Arabidopsis thaliana: one gene and its partners. The protein of the gene in region 4 interacts with the protein of the main gene of each other region in a pairwise test. Each region holds a gene or a part of one and is shown on either strand. Other genes may lie near its edges. The genes, in order: PTM, AT1G18950, HB-1 and CHR11.

The links.
Region 1: the proteins of CHR11 (region 4) and PTM interact in a two-hybrid assay, tested with the Arabidopsis thaliana proteins (one study listed by BioGRID).
Region 2: the proteins of CHR11 (region 4) and AT1G18950 interact in a two-hybrid assay, tested with the Arabidopsis thaliana proteins (one study listed by BioGRID).
Region 3: the proteins of CHR11 (region 4) and HB-1 interact in a two-hybrid assay, tested with the Arabidopsis thaliana proteins (2 studies listed by BioGRID).

Annotation. Positions count from the first base shown.
Region 1 is NC_003076.8:13,479,563-13,484,291, forward strand, and holds the start of PTM (PHD type transcription factor with transmembrane domain protein (PTM)), read right to left. Parts: upstream 3,030-4,729; 5' UTR 2,883-3,029; intron 2,793-2,882; 5' UTR 2,677-2,792; coding exon 1,880-2,676; intron 1,601-1,879; coding exon 917-1,600; intron 700-916; coding exon 1-699. UniProt on the Arabidopsis thaliana protein: Membrane-bound transcription factor required for the plastid-to-nucleus retrograde signaling. Functions in multiple retrograde pathways.
Region 2 is NC_003070.9:6,544,273-6,552,176, forward strand, and holds AT1G18950 (DDT domain superfamily), read left to right. Parts: upstream 1-1,904; 5' UTR 1,905-2,266; coding exon 2,267-2,707; intron 2,708-2,818; coding exon 2,819-2,929; intron 2,930-3,909; coding exon 3,910-3,996; intron 3,997-4,085; coding exon 4,086-4,123; intron 4,124-4,202; coding exon 4,203-4,284; intron 4,285-4,570; coding exon 4,571-4,677; intron 4,678-4,756; coding exon 4,757-4,913; intron 4,914-5,594; coding exon 5,595-5,687; intron 5,688-5,801; coding exon 5,802-5,922; intron 5,923-6,045; coding exon 6,046-6,088; intron 6,089-6,205; coding exon 6,206-6,409; intron 6,410-6,490; coding exon 6,491-7,277; 3' UTR 7,278-7,836; downstream 7,837-7,904. Other genes in the region: AT1G18940 (Nodulin-like / Major Facilitator Superfamily protein), read left to right, coding at 1-56, 217-1,320. UniProt on the Arabidopsis thaliana protein: Probable transcription regulator.
Region 3 is NC_003070.9:9,977,916-9,982,513, reverse strand, and holds the start of HB-1 (homeobox-1), read right to left. Parts: upstream 3,037-4,598; 5' UTR 2,579-3,036; coding exon 2,401-2,578; intron 2,320-2,400; coding exon 1,840-2,319; intron 1,724-1,839; coding exon 1,653-1,723; intron 1,340-1,652; coding exon 977-1,339; intron 885-976; coding exon 795-884; intron 681-794; coding exon 516-680; intron 390-515; coding exon 167-389; intron 1-166. Other genes in the region: AT1G28410 (myosin heavy chain-like protein), read left to right, coding at 3,434-3,572, 3,699-3,826, 4,346-4,393, 4,544-4,598. UniProt on the Arabidopsis thaliana protein: Transcriptional regulator required for the maintenance of the plant vegetative phase.
Region 4 is NC_003074.8:1,939,425-1,946,996, reverse strand, and holds CHR11 (chromatin-remodeling protein 11), read right to left. Parts: upstream 6,025-7,572; 5' UTR 5,932-6,024; coding exon 5,734-5,931; intron 5,527-5,733; coding exon 5,395-5,526; intron 5,300-5,394; coding exon 5,193-5,299; intron 5,082-5,192; coding exon 4,969-5,081; intron 4,766-4,968; coding exon 4,668-4,765; intron 4,578-4,667; coding exon 4,398-4,577; intron 4,316-4,397; coding exon 4,094-4,315; intron 3,898-4,093; coding exon 3,763-3,897; intron 3,681-3,762; coding exon 3,398-3,680; intron 3,321-3,397; coding exon 3,247-3,320; intron 3,137-3,246; coding exon 2,916-3,136; intron 2,840-2,915; coding exon 2,752-2,839; intron 2,674-2,751; coding exon 2,580-2,673; intron 2,504-2,579; coding exon 2,309-2,503; intron 2,228-2,308; coding exon 2,193-2,227; intron 2,084-2,192; coding exon 2,007-2,083; intron 1,909-2,006; coding exon 1,819-1,908; intron 1,721-1,818; coding exon 1,651-1,720; intron 1,545-1,650; coding exon 1,490-1,544; intron 1,400-1,489; and 12 more. Other genes in the region: AT3G06390 (Uncharacterized protein family (UPF0497)), read left to right, coding at 7,290-7,549. UniProt on the Arabidopsis thaliana protein: Possesses intrinsic ATP-dependent nucleosome-remodeling activity. Constitutes the catalytic subunit of several complexes capable of forming ordered nucleosome arrays on chromatin. Involved in the formation of nucleosome distribution patterns.

The DNA of each region.
Region 1 (4,729 bases), on a different chromosome or scaffold from region 4:
CCCGCTACAGCTGCATTTAACATGCATCCTCTCCTGCTTGCAGATGTGAGTCGGCAAGAATGACACCAACCACATCTTTCTCTGGTAATCTCCTTCTTATCAGGACTTGGCCAGAAGAAACGGGGGGCTACTAATGAAAAAGCTTTCATCTGCTCTAAGATGTTACTTGATGCAGCTTTCTTGGCACTATTATACTTGCGAAGGTCAGGTTCATGGGTTTCCTCTGACGATAGGACAGCCAAACTGGCAGCAGCAGATACAGCCAATTCTCCATTTGTGTAATGATTATTGTATGTGTTGGGTTTAAACGATAAACCCAGGTAGGTAACACGAGCAGCCAATTTTTTCCCCTGTATTCCACATGAACCTCCTGTAACAGCACTGTTGGTATTACCCAAAGTAGATGTAGGGAGGTCAAACACAGTCTGGGTATGACTTCTATTGGAAATATTTGCACTATCTGACTTAGTGATCTCTGAAACCTTGCCATCCTCTCTATCCTTTGCTTGAGTTAAACCAATCTCCCCTTCCCTCAAGGAGATACCTTCAGGAAGATCCCAGTATTGGGTGATCGCTTTGCAAATCTCTACATATTCTAGTGTATGGCTTGATGCAGATATAAGCACTAGTACAACTTTTGATATGTCATTAACATTGTAGTACTTGACAACTGCATCTCCATTGACAGATATGTTAAGCCTGTGATTTAAGAGAAAAGAAGGAGAATGCTCATCAGTGTCACAACAAGCAAATTCAAATGTTCCAGAGTAATGCTGGCTAAAACCTGTTAGCAACTATTTGCCTAGGAAGTAATGAATCTTAAACTATGTAGCAGGGGAATAGATTGAAAGATCAGGTTGCTAATTCCAACAAATGCAAAACAAATTATGTATGAATGGAGGCAACGAAAACATACACCAGTAAGTGATTGCAAGTACCCAAGAAGAGTCGCCCATGTGGATCCATTCCAAACTGTACAGCTCCTCTAAGTGAGGTTCCATGAGCAATCTTCGGCCCCTTTTTGTTAATAGTGCACTCTGGACAAAACCATGGCCCATCTGGTATATACATTTTGACCACACCAATGCATCTTGAGTGGTATGCTAAAGGACATCCATCACAACAAAGCAAGGTTCCATCCATTCCACAAATCCTACATTCATCACTGTTTCCATCTAGATCTGAGCTAACTTCATTTGAACCGCCATTAGTACATCTTGAGTCCAAATCTTTAGACTCGTTTGTTGAGCTATCAGTAACCTCTTTTTCCTTGTAAGCTGAGGTTTTAGCGAATCTGGGGTGGACCCGTCTAGGTACATTTTCAAGAAGACCTGTGGCAACTCTATCAGGATCAAATCCAATTTCAGATTCTTCGCGAGCATCTATTTCATCTCTTAGATCAGCTACATCAAAGATGTCATCACAGAGAATTTGTAGAATCTTCAATTTCATCCCAATGGGTAACGAGTAGTATTCTATTTCCACAACAAATTTGTTAAAAATGTTCCACTGAGGCCCACTAGCATGCCCCATCGCAGTAAAGTACTGAACCAAATAAACAGGCCAAGTTAGCACATCGAGCAAGCTCCAATCAATGCACCTGCAGATAGCAAAGCAACAAAATCTGTGAAGTCCTCTCAGCTAAAGAGGTAAAGCATCCTAAAATAAGCTCTTTCGACCATTTTCACTGGCAGAAGACAAATTTTGCATTAACTAGAATTCATGTAGTTCAGAAACCTAACCCAATGACCAAATCTGCTAGTTCGTAATATGATTTATACACTATGAAACCAGAAAAGGCTCAAGAAATGAGAACATATGCTGTGAACATCCGGAAAGCAAAACAGAAACTTCCAAAATAAAATTTATCTGCACTTACCTCAAGCATTTTGAGGCTAGGACAGACTTGGAGGAGGAAAGTCTCTCTAGATGACCCTTCAATGCCCGCAACAAGGCCACATGAACAGCATCCAACAAAGAATTTGGTCCCGAGAAATACAACGCTCCCACAAAATCATTGAGTTCAAATGGGCAGATATAAAGCTGAAAACTAAATGACCTTAAGAACCCATATACAGATAAGAGATGTGCCACAGCCTCCTCTGGGATACCAATTGTCCCTGATGAAGGAGGTAAATCCACTGGTGGAACAAGAGGAGCCTCAATTTCAAGATCTGAACCTCTCTTATCTCCACTCTCAGACGACTCTGAGTCACTATATGAATCACCATCTTCGGAGTTCGTAACTGCTCGTGCCTGCACTCCATTTACTTGATTTGGCAACTCAACTGCTTTGTTCTCCGGCGAATTTCGTTTCTTTTTCTCCTCCTTCTTCAGTATAAGTTTATCTAATTTCTTCCTTCTAACACGTAACTCATCGTCTAAGTAACTATCCGAAATAATTAAACGACGAAGATCACCACTCTCCAATTCCTCACAATCACCATCCTCATATATCACTCTATATAACCCAGTATCATAAGACACTATCTTCCCTAGAAAAACTTCATTGTCATCAAAATCTTTCAGCATATAACAACCAAGTAAAGATATCGGCACTGCAGGCTCAACCTCCAGAACTTGCTTTTTCCCTCGATTGTTCAATTTTCGATTATCATCCTCTAATCTCTGACGTTTCCTCGGTCTTCCCCTAGGTCTAGGAACCTTCGCTTCCATCAAAACAACCTTTGGGGGAATTTCATACTCTATGGCCAAAATCTCTTTGGGAGCAGTAAGTTTCTCCACTACCTAGATTCATCAAAATCTCATTGTTTCATCGAAACCCATAAGCCCTAGATTCATCAATAATCAAAAGGTTTAAAACCCAATTCACATGGAACAACAGCGAATCGAGATCTGTAAAGGAGAAGACTTAAAATCACCTGATCAAGGTTTCTTGAAGAGAAGAAGGGAAAACTCAGGAAGAAAGAAGACAAAATTCAACAACGAAGGATTTGGGAATTGGACAAGGACATAAGAGAGAGAAGACGAAGAAGAAGAAGAAGGAGAGTGCTTTTTCCTTTAAGCCTGCGTGCAGCTGTGGCTGTGGTTCTTCTCCCTACAGCTTTTCCCTTTAAGCCTGCGTGCTTTTTCTGGTCTTGGCCTGTTTGGGCCTTGTACTTGTTTTTTATTTTCAGTTGGACATGTGTGCCTTCATGGCAGTATGTTGCCTTAAACGCTTGGGCCTGCGTGTCTTTTTGGGCCTTTGGGCCTTGTAACTTTGTTTTCTTTTCGGGAAATTTAAGAATTACCTTCCAGAATTCTGTATACTAATTATTACAATAATGTTGAACTGTCAAGACGTCAGTAAATTAAATAAGAAAAACAAAAATCATTGAGATTGATCATTAAGTAGATATAACTAGATATATTATTTTAAGACTATTATGTAGTAATAAATATTTTTTTGTCATCTTATTTTAGTTAGAATTCAAAAAAATTAAATCTAAAAAACCAAATTATTTGTTTTGATATTATGTAGTAATAATTTGTATAGATTAACAAAAAAAACTTAGGACGATTTCCGAAATACCGGAATATTGTTATAAATATTGCTTTTCTCATTCTAATCGAATATTTTTCAGCTTTGTTGGTTTGTTTTCTCTCGGTTATCTGAATCTAATAAAATTCCGATTTACTTCTTTGCTAAGATCAATTCTCTCTATTTCTACAATATCTCACTTGGAATTTCGCTTGCCATAGTTGATCTTCCCGTCCCACTGTTGGCTTAACTCCAATCTTGAGCTAAAATAATATATTTGTTAATTATTATGATGAGGACCTCAACTAGGTCTTAGGCGTAGCTTTTGCTAGAATCATGGTTAAGATGATGAAGGATTGACGATATCTTCTTGCAGTTTCTTCGAGACGGAAATAGTGGAAGTCAATCGAATTTGCAACAACGAACTTTGTAGAAGGAGTTCGGTGGTGGATTTGTGAAGCCAGCGGCAGAGTTTGCACCGAATCGTGGATCTTGGGCGGTACCGACTATATCTCTCTCTCCTTCTCGCGTATCAACATGTGTTGTTGATGCGGCATCTTAGTTTCTTAATCTAATCAAATTAAAGAGTTTTTAACTGTAATCAAGGTTGTAAATGTTGGAGTTTGGACTTCTCTTTTCATCACTTGTATAGCCCGTTGGGCTCAATATCAATAAAAACGTTGGATGACAAAAAAATAAAAAATCAATATAGATTAATAAAATAGCGACTGACTTTTTAAACCCAAAAAATACTGCAGACGAGAAAAATAGTATAATTTTAAATTTATTAGATAGTTTTAGGACATGTTATTTTAAAAAATCTTATGAGTTTTCATCATTGGTTTAAGTATTTATCTAATTATTATAAATAATATCTCCAATATTTTAAAATATTTGAAAATTTAAATAGTTTTGCTAAACATATATATAGTATGATTTTATGGTTCATATATTAATTAACTTTTAGATATACTATTTATCTAAAAAATATGTTTTTGGTCCGCCATTATATAGTAAAATTATAAGATTATGGAGACGAGACAAGATCAGATAGCCGAGCTCTAAGATTACAAGACTGGTTTGCACTTAGCTCAAACTCTCAAAGAATACGAGAAAGGTTCTTAAAGGAAGTGTAAAAGACCAAAATTAAACTTTCTAATTCTATATGCAGTAAAATGTTCCAATATCAAAAACTCTTTGAATTTGTTGGAAAGTTCTCTTATACTAGTCCCACCGGCCAATTCGGTC
Region 2 (7,904 bases), on a different chromosome or scaffold from region 4:
TGAGCTCCTTAGAGAATTTTGCTGACTATGGTGGCACTGCTGTTGGCATTATGAAGGTAATAAAAGACTCAAGCTTTATGAAATTTTATTTGCTTAGTGTTGATATCTTGTTACTGCTACTTCTCTGGGACCTTAAGACTGATTCTGATAAATCAGATAAATCCTCTGTTTTGGGTTCTGTTTTGCAAATTATGTCTTCGCTTTCGTTCTTTGCAGGGTTTTGTTGGACTAAGCGGAGCAATGTTAATTCAGCTGTATGAAGTCGTATGTCCTGGAGATCCAAAGACTTTTATTCTTCTACTTGCAATTGTACCTTCACTTCTCTCTGTTTTGGTGATGCCTCTAGTCAGGGTATACAAGACAAGCACAGTGGATGAGAAGAAACATTTGGATGGTTTATCAACTTTGTCACTTATCATTGCAGCTTACCTTATGATTACTATTATTCTGAAGAGCACTTTAAGTTTACCATCATGGGCCAATGCTGTCACACTTGCAGTTCTACTTGTTCTGCTTTCATCGCCTCTACTAGTTGCGGTAAGAGCACACCGGGACAGTATCGAGAAACCGTTGTCATCTGTTTATTCTCCTTTGGTAGATAATCTGGAAGCAACAACCTCTGGAGAGATTTTGATGCTAGATGAAGACAAAAGCTTGAATCTTTTACAAGCTATGTGTAATGTAGACTTTTGGTTGTTGTTTCTTGCAATGATATGTGGAATGGGATCCGGGATTTCGACGATAAATAACATCAGACAAATAGGTGAGTCTCTTCGATACACTAGCGTTGAGATAAACTCATTGTTGGCTTTATGGAATATATGGAACTTTATTGGTCGGTTTGGAGGTGGTTATGTCTCGGATTGGTTGCTGCACAGAAAAGGATGGCCACGTCCGTTGCTAATGGCTACAACTCTTGGAACTATGACCATAGGTCATCTAATCATAGCCTCTGGTTTTCAAGGAAATCTTTACCCCGGTTCGATTATCGTAGGCATTTGTTATGGCTCACAATGGTCGTTAATGCCAACAATTACATCAGAACTATTTGGAGTTAAGCACATGGGAACAATCTACAACACCATTTCAATTGCTAGTCCTATGGGTTCATATATCTTCTCTGTAAGATTGATTGGATATATCTATGATCGCACCATTATCGGAGAAGGTAACACGTGTTACGGTCCTCATTGTTTCCGATTGGCATATGTGGTAATTGCATCTGTGGCTTTCCTCGGATTTCTTGTCTCATGTGTGTTGGTTTTTCGGACAAAGACGATATATCGACAGATCTTTGAGAAGATATTGCATCGTCGATAAAGAGTTGTGACTTGTGAATATCATGTACACAATGTTGTACAGTGCCATTTGTGTTTTGTATTTACATGCGATTGTTCAAATTTATTATTGATTGAAAAATCTAAACTGTGTAATAAAATACAACTACATAACATATACTTGTAAGAAGAGGTTCTTTGTTTTTTGGAGAAGTTTATTTGTAATTTAGTCCATGGAATATAGTTGTGTGACATAAATGAAGTAATTAATGTAAGAACCAAAGTTAGATTTTTTTACCTCCTTGGTCTGATTGAGAAGTATTAATGATGAGGTTTGCTATTTAGAGATACTTTACTTGAGATGGTTCCTTTTAATGGGTTACTTCAATAGTCATGTTGATACACTACATCTAGTTATGTTTCTCAAATCAATATTTTCATAAAATTATCTTTGTAATATTTTTAAAATGCTGTAGTAATTTTTTTAAAAAATCTAACACTATTATAAAAAACCAATAAAGTGCTTTTACTAGTTCTATAAAAATTAATAAAGTTTTTTTTGTTGGGTTAATAAAAAAAAGAAGAAGAAAAAAAAACACAAAAAATCTCTCTCGAGCCCTAATAAAACTGTGAGCCCCTCTATTTTCTCAGACCCTCGTGTTTCACTCTCGCTTAACGAGTCGTTTCCTTTCCTCTGATCAATTCTCTCAGAGAGACCTATTTGACATTTATTTACCATCTCAATCTTCTTTTTCCTCAGATTTTCTTCTTCATCTCTCTCACACAAACCCCAAAAACGACAGCGTTTTCAAAACCCAAACACCAGTCGACGCTTTTGGACCTTCCTTTCTTCCTCCTTGTCTCTCTCTGATTAACCGATTTCGATTTCCCCACAATGCCAAAAGGGTTTTGATTCTCTCTTCCTAAAAATCTCAAATTTACACCCAGAAAAAAACCCTAATTTCGATCTTTAATCTCTACGCTCTCTAATGGGTTCCTCCTCCGATATCGTCCCTGACCGATCTCCAGCTGACGATGTAGCTCCGGTTACAGATACCAAAATTCCAAAGGAGGAGCCTTTGACGCTTAGGAGAACGCGTCCTTCTCGGGCTTGTACTGTTAGGGCTCAGCAGCGGCTTCAAGAGCTTCAAGCGGCGGAGAGAAAGCTTAAGCCGCCTAAGAAGGAGTATAAACGAGAGCAGCATCGACGGAGAGAAGAGGTGGTGGAGGAAGATGAGGATTCGGAGGATGACGATCAAGAGGATGAAGAGAACGACGGAGATGATGAGAGTAATCCGAAGCAATGCGTTGCTGGAGGAAGTTCTACTAAAATCATTACTTCTCTTGTTCCGCCACCGGAACCTTCACAGATGCCGCGGTGGAATCTTCGTTCTATGTGGGAACTTGCTTCTGTGCTCAATTTCTTGCATGTGAGCTCTCTGTTAACTTCAATTGTGTTTCGTCTTCTGGTTCTTAGCTGCCAATGAGTAACTAACTCTCAAAGTTCGTTTTTTTGTTTCTTTTTCTGGATGGTGATGAAGGTATTTAGACCGCTTTTGAAAATCAATGCGGAGTTTTCAGCGGAGGAGTTTGAAACGGCTTTGCTTACTCCAAACGATACTTTAAGTGATATTCACATTCCTCTGCTAAAGGTTGGTGCTTTGGTCATCCATTGTTGTGTTTATTCCTACTCATTTAGTGTACTTCTCGTCTCTTATTGATTGTTTCCTAATTCTTGTTGGTTTCCTTTGGTTTCTGTTTGTATTAACTTCAATGTACTACTAGAGGTTGTCTCATTGACATGAAAATAACATGTTTAGGTGCTCTAGACCTGAGTGTTGGCTCTTATTAGTACTACAACTAGTGATAAGACATTTTTTGGCGTACTGAATGGTTCTAGAATAGAAAATTGCCGTTTTGAGTGAGAAGATTCTGTTAAAGTTTAGATATTATATAGAATCCTGGGTGCTGTACCCAGTGAGAAATAGAAGGGGACCTGGTAATGTGTTAGTATCCTATATGTTAACTGCAATTTGCTTGCAAAGTGATGTCACCTCTACTTCATATAAATTTGCTTCTCTTTGAATCCTGGGTGCATCTTCTTCTGCACTTCAAATTAAATATTCCAAGGGGTATGACTAATTTTTTTGGTAAGCCCCTTTGTAATGCGACTTGGGTAGACTACAACCAACTTGTTCAACGATATCTTGAGCTTACTAAGTCTTTCTCAGTTCGGATGAAAGGGACTCTTAGTTTCAAATCATTTTGGCTGAGCGGCTGGTTGACCAAGATATAGCATCTATGTTTTTGGCTAGCTTTCCTCGTAGGCACCTTATAGGCTTGTACTGCCCAGTATAGATCACTAGTTTTTCTGGAACATCTTCATGAGTTCTTTTAGAGTTCCCTGATTAAAGTCCTTGATCATTGTCATGATATCATGATTTTTGTTGTTGTTTGTGCGTATTTATAATTGCCATTTTTCTCTAAAGTGCTGCAGTTACTTTTGGTTTATGTTGATACTAATCAATCATGATTTGGAATCAAATATATTCTTCACTACTATGAGATGTTCAAATTGCTTAATAATTTCTCTCTGTGAGCAATATTCAATTTTCTTCCTTTCAAATTGCAGGCCATTCCGCCTGTAACTCGAATGGCTCTCACCCGTGATACCTGGGTAACTGTCCTGTGCAGAAAAATAAGAGATTGCTGGCATTGGGTAATGATTGCTTAACTTCGTTGTCCTGATAAATCAAGTACTTTTTGCATTATATCATCTTCTGACATGATCTTCACCTACTCATTTAGGTTGCAGAAGGGGACCTTCCTATTGTTGCCTTGCAAGGGTTAGTTGTCATAATTTTCCTGAATATCATGGTAACGGATTAGTGATCCATTTATGAGCTTCTCTTCTTAACCTTGTAGGCGGGAGATTGAAGTTTACAAAAATCTTGATCCAGCCATCCGTGTGGTGATTTTAAAAGCGTTATGTGATATTCGTGTTGAGGTATTGTTGCTACTGTATGACGATCTATTATCCAAATCTTGATACCATCTGTATTGTTTTATCCTCTAAAACTTTTTGTTATTTGTGAAACGCACTAGAGTTGAAACTGAATTTTCATTATGTTGTATATCTGTATTGATGTATATAGGGTACCATGTATATATGTTTACAGTTTATGATGTCCATTATTAAGCTCTGGAGCTTTCTGATGCGATGCTAATGACTGACTTGAAACAAAGTGGTTTTAACACTTATAGTTTTGATTGGTTTTGTGTATTTCTTACAGCAAGAGGATATCAGGAGCTACATTGACAACTCTCTTAAAACTGGCGTTCACCTGTCAGTTTTTCGCAAAGATCGTGTTGGGGGTGATTCACATGGAGTTAATTTTTGGTATGGAGCAAAGAAAAAAGACCTAAAGGACTCCTTTGTTTGCATATATCTGATATTACCTGTTTGTTTCTTATGTAAGGTATGAGGAAGATCCCTTAATTGGTCACCGTTTATATCGGGAAATAAGGAAAGCAGAGGTGTTGAAGGTCAAAACAAAGGGTTCCAAGATTCTTCCTAACATAACATACCAATGGGAAACTGTTGCCACTAATTTCGATGAATTCCAAGATGTTTCTGTAAGTCTCTTTACAATCAATGATTTTGAATTACCAGATAAATTGCTTAGGATACTTCTATATGCTGTCTGTTTAGTGAGTCTGTAATTAATTCTTGCTATGGAATATGGTTAGATAGCATGCAGGCTAGTGTTAACCATGCACTCGAATATTAATCTTCTTTAATGGATTATACTCTATAGGTTGAGAAAAATATATGTGGAGAATCAGTTATTTTCAGAGAATTTTTACTCAAAGAATGGTGCATACGATTGCTTGTAAATTATCCTTGATATCTTTAGTTATTGTGAGTGAATCATATTAAAATGTTAGCACTGCTAAGAACTGGCTTAAAAGGGCTCATATGCAATAGTTGGATGTTAATGGGTTAGAGTATGTTGTTTGTGTTAGTGAGTCCAGTGTCTTTTTCTCGAGAGATGTCCTTTCTTGTTGCAGTTGATCATAGGGTTTAACAAGGTGAACACAAACAATTTTATACTGTGGATCTGTTTCAATGCTTTAGTACCTCCTTTTGCGGTTTCCCGAGGGAGATCCTATATACTATTCTGTCGAAACTTATGTTTCGGACTGAACTTCTTTACTTTTAACTGTCAATTTCTGTGAAGGACTAAACTAAACAATAGGTATAACTTTCCATGTCTTTACTACTGATTTGAGATGCTCTGTCTCTTTGTTTTTCAGGAAAAACTTCTTCAGAGTAGTAGTAGAATTGAAGTTTCTCTAGGGAAGAAGTTAGTAAAAGATATGCTTCCTGAGATAGAAAAAGAACACAAGGTTCCAATCTGCTCTATACTTTTCTATTTTTTTTTTGTTTTTTTTTTCTGTTTTTCATGGCTGAAAATTCTCTTCAACTGCATATTTTCATAATGGAATTTTTTCCACTGTCAGAGGAAAGAAAAATTGTTGAAAAAGCAACACAGACAGGCTCTTCTCCTTGATAACTTTGTGGTTGTTGATGGTCTTGCTGGGCGATCTCTCCGTGATAGGAAGCCAGTTAGATACACTTTTGGTAATGTTATGACCTTGTTGGAAATTCATGCCCGTGGTTCTTCCTTTTTGGCATTTTTTCCTATTTAAATCCATCTAAATCTCTACTGGACTGAAGTATTACTAATTTCAAAAGTTATTGCAGATGATTATGATAAGTCCATAAATGATGCTATCAAGATAACAAAGTACGTCTGAGTCTCCCTTGCATTGAATCATCTCTGTTGGTTTTCTCTAACATTGTTATTGGATGACTATCTTCTATTGTCTCTTACATTCTGTTTGTTTTCGTGATACTATCTCAGGAAGAAACATCCATCACCAGAACATCCTCTCCACAGAAGAGAATCTGCCAGGTTGGACGCTCTTGCGAATGGCAGATCGACCAGTTCAACCCACCCTACTGAGCCTGTGAACGATACAGCATCTGGGAGATCTTCTGATTTTGCTGATTATGATGATTTCGATGAGCATAGAGATGAATCTTTGGACAGAAGGCAAGATACAGTGTATTTTTCTTCTCTCCTTAAATCTCCCCTCTGGAACTATGCAAACCTTTAGCTTAATTAACAAGTATAATGTTGTGGCAGTAACAGGCGCAGACAACGACCTCAACGATATTCAGCTACGGACTTTGTTGAAACTGTTTCAGACAATGAGGTAGAATTTCAAAGTGACGATGACATTTATGGGGAAGCAGTTTATGATGAAGAATATCTGAAGAAGCGTAAACAGAAAAAGCTCTCTAGCGGTTCTGAGGGAGATGAAGAAAAGGGAGATGAAGAATACAAATGGGATGAAGACAATGCTGAGTATGAGGAAGAAGAAGAAGAGGAAGAAGAAGAAGATTCCCTAAGTGCAAGCGAAGAGGATAGTGATGAACCCCGGAGGGCTAAGAAAATGCCACGGAGAGAAACTAAGTTAAGATCAAGATCAAATGATTTTCGGCCAGGCCTGAGACGAAGTAAAAGAGCCACGCGAATTGATTACCAACAATATGAGTTCTCAGACTCGGACAAAGAAGCAACAGGACTGGCAAAACGTAAGCGGTTTGTTGAGCCGGACGAACCTTCTGATGAAACAGGGAATGGGGATTTCACAATGGGAAGTCAGGACTCTGAAGAAAATGCAAACGACCCAGAAACAAAATCTGGTGAAGAAGAAGAGCCGAGAGATGTCAATGACAATGCAGATACAACAAATGGAAAAGAGAATAACCAACTTAACAAATCAAACGGCACAACAGACCAAGAAGAAGTTGAGGGTGTAGTAGGCAAAAGGCGTTACCTCGACTTAAACGAGCTGGCCCCGGTATCTGGTTTTGATGATGGCCCAAGTACAGTATTGAAGGATGATGATAAGACAGACAATTCATAAGCAAGAAAGAGAGTTTGCCTTCATAAAGCTCCCTCTGGTCGATCACCATTGTATGATAAGCAAGATTTTCACGAGTTATTTCTGGCAACATCCCCTTGCAGAGAAAAGTTGAAACGGTAAGAGACACTCCATTGGCTTTTTCTTCATTCAAGCATATCTGCCTTCTTGTTGTTTTAAAGTAATTCAGGCAAATTCGGCTGATAAGTGAAGAGGAGAATGTTATGGAGGCCGAAGAGGTATGTGTAGATTAGGTTAGTCATTTTTTCTTACCATGAAGAAAGAAACAATGAAGAGGGTGAACCAGATATTCCTAAGAGCTGTTTAATGTTTTATGGAATTATTATTAGTGTACAAGTAACTTTCTCTAACTTTTTTGTATTTTGATCATAAGAACAAGTTCAAGGTCTCTTAGATTTTGGTTAAACGACGCAGCTTTGAGACTGCTGAATGTGATTATGGTACCATGGAGCAAATCTTTCTAATGGCTGTGAAACAAACTATTGTTGCTTTATCCCAGGTCATATTGTGAGCTTCAAAGCTCATGAAACTACATACCTTCAAATTAATAACTTGGATTTTAGATATATATAGGCTATATATATATGTACATAAATGGTTATTAATTTG
Region 3 (4,598 bases), on a different chromosome or scaffold from region 4:
ATATACCAAACTAAGAATATAAAAATTAATACTAAGCTTAAAATTTCAGAGAGGAAAAACACTAAAATAAATTACCAAAAATTATTGATTGTAAAGCCTAAAAACTAAGTAGACCGTTAGGCCGTGATTACCAAATCCACTACTAACTAAATCTGAGAGACCATACCTCTATACACCTCAAGATTCTGCAATGTGTCGTGATCAAGCTGTAATACTGAGGGTAATCCTTTGCTAATAGCAGCCAATTCCATTAGTTCTAGCTGCTCATCTTCAATAAGATCCATAGACTCCTTGGCAATTCTACGTGCAGTTGCCTTCTCAATGGCAAGCTTGCGTCTAATAGCGTCTTTCTCTCGACGAATCTCGTCTTTTTGCTTCTTTTTCTCAGCCTTTAACATGTCAACAAAAAGATAATTTTCACTCTCTGAACTCTTGCCACAAAAGTTGCTCAATCTCAGCAGGATTAACAAAAAAATACCAAAGAATAACAACTGGGCAGAGTTTTCCAAACTTACCCTTTCATTTTCTCTCTGTAAGAATTTTTCTCTTCTTTCTACTTCACGACGCTGCTCACGCTGTAACCTTTCCTCTTCTTTTATTCTTTCACGCATCAACCTCTCTTCTTCCTTACGCCTCTCACGCTCGTTCCTTTCCATCTCTTTTCTCATGCGTTCTTCATTCTGAGGACACAAGCATCAACTCATCAATATATCTGTTACAGTGATACTAACAAAAGACAATAAGACACCTTTCCAAATAATCAGTAAGGAGGATAATAAATGTAGAGCAAATACCTTTTTCCTCTGAATTTCTAGCTTCTCAAGATCTTTTGGTCCATGATTCTCTCGGGTTTCACTCCCTCTTCCAAGTCTACCATCGTTAATCTGTGAGAGTAAACATAGAAAAATGACATTACAACAAAGACACATCTTGTCAACAAAAACGGATGAAATAAAAGTTGGTACAATGAAGCTACCTTTCCCTTTCTATGCACATCACTACTCTTACGCACTCCATCAGGTAACAAATATGGATCTTCTGTACCAAGGACTGATGAGTCCTTCTCCAGCAGGAATCTATCACCATGATGCGCTGATTCAATGGGGCTTGGCATGTCTTGTTGAGATGTCGAACAGTTACGAGACGCATGTCCAGGGGTAACATAGGACCTTGGTACAGGTCCATTCGCGTGCATAAATGATGAAATTCTAGAACGTGCAACTTCATAGTCCATACCACGTGCATGATTTTCAGAGTATCGTTCATACATATTAGGTGTAAAAGAAGACGGATCATCCAGAGATTGTTGCTCATGGAAAGAACGGGCAGCAGCATGAGACTATAATCAACAAAAGCAAATATGTTAAGCAAAGTAGTAAAAAGAAAATATTATAAAACTGTGAATACATGAATGGACAAGAAAGAGAATAGAAACAGCAGAGCGGAATTCATCTTTCTAACAATGATCAGAGACTAAAAACTGCCATAAGACTAATGTCAGCCTTCATGTAATGAGAACTCTAAAAATTACTCCTACCATATAATTCATAGACCATCAGTTTATGGTAACCTCTTCAACTAGTCAATTTGAGATATCTAGGTGCATTATAAAGAAACTAAATAGAGCATATCTGTTTAGTCAGAAAACTAACTCTTCGAGGTCGGGGATCATGTCGCTCATACAGATCGCTCTCATAGGGATGAAGTAGGTGTTTCTGCATCGCTGAAATGCCAATGAAAACAAAGTTAGAGAGTTACTTATCACAAGAAGTGTAATACTAACACTGACATTGGTTACACAAGTCATAAAACAGGGCAAACATAGAAAGTAATGTATACCTATAGGTGTTCCAAACGCACCAGGAGGCAAAGGATCAAACTCCATGCCAAGAATAGGTCCATCATCTCTCAATGGCTCACCTAACTGAGCCTCAATACAGACAATAGCTCTATGCACCATTGTCGACAACCGCGACTCATAACTCGGCTTTCCCATTGTCTCATATTCATCCAATTCAGCTCGAGAACTACTACTACCACTAGCAAAATTCCTCCTAGAGTTGGAATAAGGACTGCAACCAGACTCAGAACCCGAATCAGATCTGGAATCTTGCTCAGGTACCGATCCAGCAGCAGCCGGTAACTCGTTAACCGAAGCCGATTGAACCGCAGCAACCGATGATTTCACCGGTTTATTAGACTGACCATCCTTCTTGTCCTTTAACCGTCTATGACAAAACCACATCTGTAATTGTCGATCTGACAAATCCAATTTCTCAGATAACTCAGCCCTCGTCGCCTCCGACGGATACTTCTCCTCTGAATCAAAAATTCAACATCAATACTTAAAAAAACAAAGAGAACGAAGATTGAATCAAATTAATTGAGATGAATAAGAACCTGAATAAACTTTCTCCAAGGTTTCAAGCTGAAACGGAGTTTTCATCTGACGTTTAGGCTTGACACGACCATCCTTAGAGGAGGAATTATTATCAATCTTCTTCTTCTTATTATTAAGATTAGCATCACCAACGACGCTCCTGATCTTCTGATCTTCACCGTCAGAACCCATCTCCATGGAAAGAGAAGAAGAAGAAGAAACCCAGAAACGGCCGCAAGAAGAATCAAAGAACACAAAAACAAAAACTAGGGCTTTCTATTGAACAAACAAACCCTGATCCAAAAACGTAAAAAAATAAAAATAAAAAGAAGTAGAATATATAAGAGTAAGAATAAGAAGAAGAGGAAGAACAAACAATAATAATAGTAAAATCGATAAAAACCAAAAAGGAAGAAAAACAACAACAGGGCTTCTAGTAGTAGTAGTAGTAGTACCACTCATCTCAATTTCAACCTCCTTCATATTCCTTTCTTTTTTTTTGCCTTTCTTCTTAATTAAAATCTTGTTTTTTTTTGTTGTAAATGAAAAGAAAAAAAAAATCGAAACTTGAGGATTCTACAGCGAATCGCGTGCTTATGTGTGTTTCTGCCGTTGATGTGTTTATCAAAGCTTTTTTTCTTTTTATTATATAAATCAAGTTAATTTAAAACTAAATTAATACAACAACTCTTGAAGGGCTTTAACGTGCTTTTGGTCTCGTGTTCGTGTTGTTGTCTTTCAGATCCGCAGGCTGGTTGCATGATTATCATATCCCCCAGATTTTTTTTTTGAGGAACCACTTGTGTTGAGAGTAAACATCTTGCCCTTTATTGTTTTCAAGTGTACAGTCCTTGTCGTTTTTAAAACCGGTTCAATACTTCAATTCAGATTTTTTAATCCCGGTTTACTCGCCGTCCCTATGAATCACAGAGGAATCGAAAGAACCTTTACGAGGAAGCTTTGACTCGAAATCTCTCTGAAGAAGAAGAGGAGAGACGAAACTGTTGGCTTAGTTTCCGACGCCGGGAACGTCGGAACTCCGGTGAACAGAGAATGGGGCTGCATTTGGCTGCTCTGTTTTTCATCATTTCACCACTCTTCGTTTTCTCCTCTCAAGTCCAGCAGCAGATCGGTTCTAATCAGAACTTGATCAATGATCTGGACTCAGCTAAGCTCAGAATATCTCAATTGGGTAAAGTTTGTTTCTTTTTGTTCGTGGTGGTTTTGGGTTGAACCACCAAGGCTTCTCTTTTTTCTTTTTCTTTTTGCTAATTGTATTGTTTTGTTTGCTGGGAATCGATTGGCTCTGATCGTGTAGAAGCTGTTCTTGAGGCGACAATACAGAAGTTGGATGGTAAGACCCTTTACTTGAAAGAGCGTGAGAAGTTGATCCAAGTTGCTGAAACTCAGATCCTTGATTTGCAGTCTGCTTCATACATTGACAAGGTTGGTTTGGTTCTCTAAGGAGAATGTATTGAACATTTAGTTATGTTAAGTAGAATTAGCTAAAAGGCTTTAAAAATTTCCTCTGCTGATGAGGGAATGAATGTGGTAGGACACTCATTAGATCGTATGTGCTAGTCTGAGGCTCTCCTATGATACCCCCTTTCTGAATAATGTTTACTTGAGAAAACTCAATGCCCTATTGAGCTTAATCATTATAGTTGTAGCTGCCACTTCTGTATAGTTGCCACACCTTTGTTGTAGGATGTCTAAGTATTGGTGATACGAAAACTTGCCTGGTTGTATGATAAGTACTCGGCTCGTAATGTTTTATCCCTCTTCTAGTTGTATTTGAATCAGTTTATAAACCCTTAGAAGATTGTACTGAGTTTGATTATGTTGCTGCTCTTGAAGTAGGGTCTTTGTTTCTTCTGTTTGGAGCTAGTTTCTTATCTGAAATGTATATTGTGCCATCACTTTATCATGGTAGTTGCATTGCTAACACTTGTTATTTGATCTCAGAGCGGCTTACCTTTGGTTCAAAAGAGGATAAGCGAGTTAGAAGAAGAGGTCTGTTCAGTCATGTGGCTATTCTATTCTTTAGACTAGTTCTCAAAATGTTTTTTTCTATTGGTTTATTTCCCAAATTGTGTTCTGCCAATGCTGGAGCTACTTATTCTTCAACTCCACTAATCTAAAGAACAGGGTTGGCAATGGTAGGTGAAACTTCTATGGGCTGCCTTGAGAACAACCAACTTCGAGCTACACGTTTTAG
Region 4 (7,572 bases):
CGTTGAACAAAGAAGTAATAAATTGTGGAAAAAATCGTCTGTTCATATATCCCTCAGAAACTCATAACTTTTGCTTAAGCTTCAGCCTAAGTTGCCATCCAATGGCCTCAAATCCTTTTGTTCAGTTTCTTTACGGAAGAGAAGTCTACAAAATTATAATTAAGTCATTTCATTAAATCCAAGTCAAACCAGGACAAACATTCATGAAAGCAGAATGAAATCCATTTGCTATGTTTTTAACATTAGCTTAACTATATGTAACAACAAAGACTCGACAGATCCGTAAACACATAATCTCATCTCATCGACAGGTGCTTCCGCTTCTTCGTCGATGAAGGACTCTCACTTGCTTGTCTTCCTAAAGGTCGCTTTGATGGTGTTGCACTCTTCAAAGATTAAAAACCAGAAAAGCATTAACCACCTAAAGAAATCAAATCAAAAGAATACAACCTTATACATGAAAATATTGCATTATTTTACCTTCGCGAGCTTCTTCTCTTTGCGGGCTTGCCTCTCTCTTTCATCAAACTCCTGGTTCTCTTTCTCGATCAGTCGAATCAGAGTGTCGCATCTTCTTGCAAGTTCCTGACTCGTGCGGGATTTCACAAACCAGTCAAACCTGAACACAGACGATGTCCTAAATGCTGCCTTTAGCTCATCCCAATTCCCATAACCAAGTTTGTGAATCATGCAGATCTGTTTTTCACCACCAAAGTTCCTCAACAGTCAAAAACTTCATGATATAATTAATGAGACAGAACAGCAAAAAGGGAAACGAGAAAAAGACATACCATGAAACGGTCACACTCTTCATTGTACAGCTTGCCTTTGTTCTGACCATATTGAATCTTCAGTTCCAGCCAAGGGTTTCTGTAGCGATCCAGTTTCTTCCCTATGGCCTTCATGATTTCGTCTTTCCTAGAGATCCTTGCCTCTCCCCTCTCAATGTTCTTAATGATTCTATCATAGTCTACATATTTAGAGGGAAAGATGATAAACTTACTTAGCATAAGCTCTTTTTGGAGGTAGGAATTACTTAGAAACATGTAAAAACACTGCATAACTTAGCATTGAAAGGTGTTACTTACCGTTCAGCTCCTTGTACCGCTCTTTAAATACTTTGGCATATCTTTCAACTTCTTCCTCTGTTTTCCCTTCCATCTCAGAGGCAATGCTTTTTATGTCGTTGCGGCCATACTTCTCACAAGCCCTGAGGAAAGTATTAAAATCTCTTCTGCTCCATGTTGAGAAACCCTGGAGATTGACAATTACAAAAAATTAATTAAAGCCTACCAAATCAAATGTCTAAGACCACTCTAACATCAAACATATTCACTTGCCTCCTCCAATAATCCCTCCTTTTCTTCTACTTCTTCAGTAGTTAAGGGATCCCCACCTTCTAACAAAAAAATTCTTAATCAGTAATAGGTTTGCTGAAAAACATGTTAACAAAGTGGGTACATGTTAACAAAGTGGGTACAAGCTTGACCTTCTGGTTCTTCAACATCAATTGTGTCTTTCAACTGATTTTTCTGATGTGTTTGCTGAAACCAAAAAGCACAAAAAGAAGCAAGTTGCTTTTATAAGGCAAAAAAACTCGCTCTTAAGCACATCAAAGGAATCAAGTGTTTCGTTTTGAGAGAGGCCTACCATGAGATAACGTACTTCCTTTTCATACAACTCGGTCAATCTCTGAATGTTAAAGAACTGGAAATCGTGCCTGAAAGAGGGACAATAAATTAGATTTCTAGTGTAAGAAAATCATCAAAACAGGGAAAAGGCATTCAACAATGAGATGGAGGTTGTTGAGGTACTCACAACTGGGGCATGCGCGGAATTCTAGGCTCTTTAGGTTTAGCTGGAGCACCTTGCCGCAATGTTTGCTTAAAGTACTCAGATTCAGAGTAGCTGAAGATACAGTAGATAAAACAAAAGGGATGTTTCTTTTAGATATGAAGACTGGCAAAATAGGACTGCACAATGTATAAGACAGAAGTAATCATTACTTGCGCTTTCTCTCCCGCTTGGGGGGATCATTCCAATTGTCGCTTACAATCTTTTTAAAATCGAGCTTGTTTTCATCCTATGAACAAATTTACAAATATATTAGTAAATTTTATCATCAGTAATGCAGAGCAAAGCTAGGGATATGACATGAAAGTTAAGACTATGCAAAGAAATATACAAGTTACCTTATTGTCATCATCAAAATCATAGAAGTCAGCACCTACAACAAATAAAACAACAGATTATCAAAACATTACAATATTCACACAACCTAATAGGGGAAATAGTAGGTAAGTGACACCCTTACTGTCATCCATTTTAAACTGTATAGCATCTTCTGTGAATTTCTTCATCTTAGCATCAAGTTCAGCTGTTGCCTCTTCTCCTTTGGCAATGATTCTATCAATATCCTCGTCTGTGATTGTGCTATCTTTAGAACTGAACACCATCTCAGCACCATATCTTACCATTTGAAGCAACTCATCCTTATTGACAGCTGCATAGTTAAGATAAATACCAATTCTGTCAGAGATGAACCAATGCATAAAGCAATCACTGTATAACGCACTTACTTTTCTGTTCTGCCAATCTCCCTTGTTGAATAACCAGAGCATCAAGTGCTAACTTCTTGTAAGCTCTTTCAATCACTTTCTCCTCAATAGCAGACTGTAAACAAACAACACATAATTAATTTTAAACCTCTCATGGCTGTTTTAACTTGAAATTCACGGAGAGGAGACCAACCTCAGTGCAGAATCGAAACACTTGAACTTCTTTTTTTTGACCAATCCTATGGGCACGATCCTGAGCTTGCAAGTCGACTTGTGGGTTCCTGCCAGAATATGCCAGACTCGTCAAACGTGAAGAGAAAGTTCATAAACTACAGTGGACAATGATGAGAGACTTACCAATCACTATCGTAAAGGATCACAACATCTGCAGTAGCAAGATTGATACCAAGCCCTCCAGCTCTAGTAGATAACAAGAAAACAAATTTCTCACTTCCTGGCTTGTTGTAGGCTTCTATGGAGGCATCTCGTTCGTCACCACCAGTGTTTCCATCAATACGGCAATACAAGTAACCACGATACATTAAATAGTCCTCAAGAATATCCAAAAGTCTTGTCATCTGACATGTGGAAAGAAAAGAATAAGGCTCAGACTTTACATAGACAAAGGAAAAAGAGAAGATGAACTGTAAGAAACCATTATATCCAGCTGTTCTGTATTAGCGTTTACCTGAGAAAATATCAGCACCCTTGAATCACGTTCTTTCAACTTAGGAAGCAATTTATCCAAGAGAACCATCTTACCTAAAATAACAATATAGAGATGCTTCATAAAAAACTTCCACAGAAATCTGAAGGATCTAGTTTATTTCTAGCCTTACCAGCATTTGTTATAAGGTGATCTCCTGTGGTATATGGGGGACCAGGTTCTGCACCCTGGAAGAGATAGGGGTGATTGCAGCATTTACGCAGTTGCATTGCAATGTTTAGCAGACGTTTGCGTTCTCCACCAGCATTAACCGCTTCAAGATCCTTCTGCAGTAAAGCCTTGTAGTATTGCTTTTGCATCTGAGACATACCAACTTTAAGTATGGTCTCCTTCTTCGGTGGCAAACCTTTCTCAACATCTGACTTTAGTCTTCGAAGAAGAAATGGTCGAAGAACCTAAAAAGATACATGAAAGCAATTAACCTACGACTCACACAGAACAGAATAAACTCAATGCAAGGAATGGGTGCATCCATACCTTGTGCAGTTGTTGCACAACTTCTTGCTGGTCATTCTCACCAGAAATTTGAAACCATTCATCAAAAGTCTCTGCTGAACTAAAAATCTCAGGCAGAAGAAAATTTAGAAGAGCCCACAGTTCATGGAGATTATTCTGCATATATGAGGACAATATGAGTACAGCAGGCTACACAGTCATTATACGGTAAATATTAAAAGTGCCCGGAAAAGCAAAAGTTAAGAGTGCAAACAGAGCCGTACAAGAAAGGTTGTTTCAACATTCAATTAGAAGCAACTTAACAAAGAAAACTTCAATGTCCAAATATTCAAGAATAAGATAGAGCAAACACCTGAAGGGGGGTCCCCGTGATAAGAAGCCGATAATTGGTGCTAAAAAGTCTCATGGTTTTAGAAAGGAGTGAATTCTCGTTCTTGATTCGATGCGCTTCATCAATGATAATATAACGCCAGCTAAACCGACGAAGTGCTGTCTTCTCTTTGATGGCCATCTCAAAGCTTGTGACACAAATATCAAATTTCCCAGCAACTAGCAGGTCTTCTCGAATATGTCTCTGCATCAGTTAGCAGACATTTCAGAATCCTGGGATAAACGTTTACATGAAATTCTGAAATGGCAGACAGCTCATGACTTACCCTCTCCTCAGGATTACCAAGGAACTTCACAGCACGTAGGACAGGACAAAACCGGCGAATTTCGTTCATCCAATTACCAAGTGTTGATTTTGGAGCAACCACCATATGGGGACCATTGATTCCCCTGTATTCATGAAGATATGCCAACAAAGAAATCGTTTGAAGCGTCTTCCCCAGACCCTAGACCACAGGGAAAAAAAAGTTTCATGATTAGCATGACAGAATATAGAGAACTTATTCTGCTTGGATCGTTGGGGGAGAATTATTTACCATTTCATCAGCAAGAATTCCATTTATGCCATTCTCATAAAGACGAATGAGCCAGTTCAAACCAGCTAATTGGTAATCTCTCATCTTCCCTTGAATACCTGTCGATTGAGAAGAAAAATAGATGAATCTCAAGCTTTCCCAGTAATTTACGCTATACTACATACTAACTGTGAGGTCACAAAAATATGTATGGTTACGCAAATGGACGGAGATGTCAATCATATTGTACTTGTTGCTCGAGACTAGAGAGACGATTAATATACAGTAATCCTAGACTAAAGAGCAAAATACAGGTACTTACAAGAGGGCTGTGTGAGTAACCGTGTGTTTCCAGATCCAGTTAAGCCATCCTCTTCTTCCTTTAGATACTCTTCGTCTTCCTCCTCTTCAGTTATTTTGGAAGCATGACGTCCCCTGAAGGTAGAAGTTAAAACCACATAAATCAGGGCCTGGCTCATCATATTTACTCTGAAGCTAGAAGCAATGATGAACCGATATTTTAGGAAAAAATTGCATCTAACACACCTTCCTTTTGCCTTCTTCTGAGAAGAAGATCCATCACTTTTAGCAAAGTGGGCAAATAACTCAGTTTGCTGCAGAAGATACTTCAGTCTCCCTTTTCCCTTATTGTTCTAAAACACATGGAATGATTCAGAATCGTCAGAACTTAAAAGCACGAGAACGAAAAGTAGCTAAAAACCTGAAATATATAGTTCAAACAACGCACCATATCCGCGTCAATGGAAGCATTCTGCGACTCCAGCATCTCTTGAATCTTCTGCTTCTTCAACTTCTGCATCTCTTTAAGTCTGGCTTTCTCACGTTTGCTGATTTCAGCTTTTTCCTCATCTTCTTCGTCCTGCTTATACCACAATGAGCCACCATGCGCAGACATTCAATGAACTTTCACTCAACAAAAATTCGACTAAAACTAACAAACGAAGGAAGACGCGAACGCCGAATCCATTGCATTAAATGAAATTTCAACTTTCCAAGTACAAAAAAGATGCAGTTCACTGAGATTTCAAAAATCACAGCCATCAAAACGAAATTAGCCTGCAGCTACCTCGTAATCATCTTCTACGGGAGCAGCCTCTCCGTCGGAGACTGGTGATTCGTCGGCGGCGGCTACTTCGTCATCGTCGGAGCCAGAAGAACGAGCAACAGCCTCGAGCTCCTCCTCATCTTCTTCTTCATTATCCTTAACCCGCTCTTCTTCCTCCTCTGACGAGAAAGCCTCATCGGAATTCGAATTTCTCGCCATGGAAGCTACGAAATCTGCTTTCGCCTTGAGATCGAGGGTTCGCTTCGCTTGTGAGAAAGTAAAATAAAGATTTTAAAAAAAAAGTGAAACTTTAGATACAAATTGCAAAACGACCGAAGCTTCAGGGTAATTTGTAACCGTTGATTAAGCTGAATAAATATATGGCTACGATGTAACTAGTCGCTTCATCGAACGGGGAATTAGTAATTAATTACCCGCCACCTGAGCAAGAGAGTTGTTTTGGAACATTCGCGATTTGGGCTTTGTTTAATCATAGTTGGGCCTGACTGACCCATAAGACCCACTTTCAAGCCCGATATTTTCCCCAACTTATTACTATGCTGGAGCTGCTCGAGAAAGATTCTCCAGTTACACTATTTTTAATCTTTGTGATTGATCATCGCCCCCAATTTGTTAAAGCTATCTCTAATTTTATATATTTGGATTTACTAAAACCAGTTAGGTATTATTAAGATATGAAATAAAAATCATGATGAGTTCATATATATTATTACTGTTAGGTCTGACTTTTTTTGTGTTGTTCTCAGACTTGTGCAGTCACTCTGTATTGGTATCAAGAGATAAAGTTTGGTGATTTTGCTAAGACAAAACTACTCTATTTCGACTGGATTAGTATCTGAAATAGCTTTATCCATGTTAAAACATTATAATATGTTTGAGAAGTGCTGAAGTGGTCATGCTACTGGGACATTTGTTTCTTGCAGTTTAATGTTTTTACATAAAATAAGATATCCATTTACATGATTTGCAGCCACAAGCAGAAAGCAAAGTGATACCTAAGAGCATGTATAAAATTACCTTTTTCATGCAGATGATTGGTTAACCACTCCTACTGTTCTTTACTCTCCTTTTTTGTATTTTGTTTTTGATTACCGTCGCCCAATTTCCTCACCAACCTTCCCGGGGTTGGCCTAACACATTCCCATTGTATATATCTACATTATCCATAACTTATACCTATAGAAATATATTAATTTTTCTATTAATCAAAAATAGATATGCATGCAAAATTTGTTGTAACAAACATTATATGTTAACGTTGAAATAAAACTACAACATCTAGTGAATTTTCCAAAAACTATTTCGAAATTTTAAACAATGAAAAATGCAAGCTAGAAATTAAATGAATTGATATTCATGTTCCTGTATATATACATTAGTGAATAGTGTAAATAAATATAAATTTGTTTCTTGGCGTGTGGGTAATAACTACAACTCATCACCGGGACTATCTATATATATATACTCACAAATAATCTCATGTAGCGGCCAACTTCATAACTCACAGTCCAAACTTAACCACAACCTAATCCACAAAAGAGTTATAGAATCATCTGATGGCGTCTACTGAGAACCCTGACCCTGAAACTGGCAAATCTGAACCGATTCCCGCGTCGGCTACACCACCACCCTCATCAGCCGCCAGTTTCCTAGATTGTCGTAAAATAGACATTATAACAAGAGTTCTGCTTTTCTCCGCCACTCTGACTGCTCTTATAGTAATGGTGACTAGCGACCAGACAGAGATGACTCAGCTCCCTGGAGTTTCGTCTCCGGCTCCTGTCTCCGCCGAGTTCAATGACTCGCCCGCTTTCATGTTTGTCTCTTTAATTAATTAAA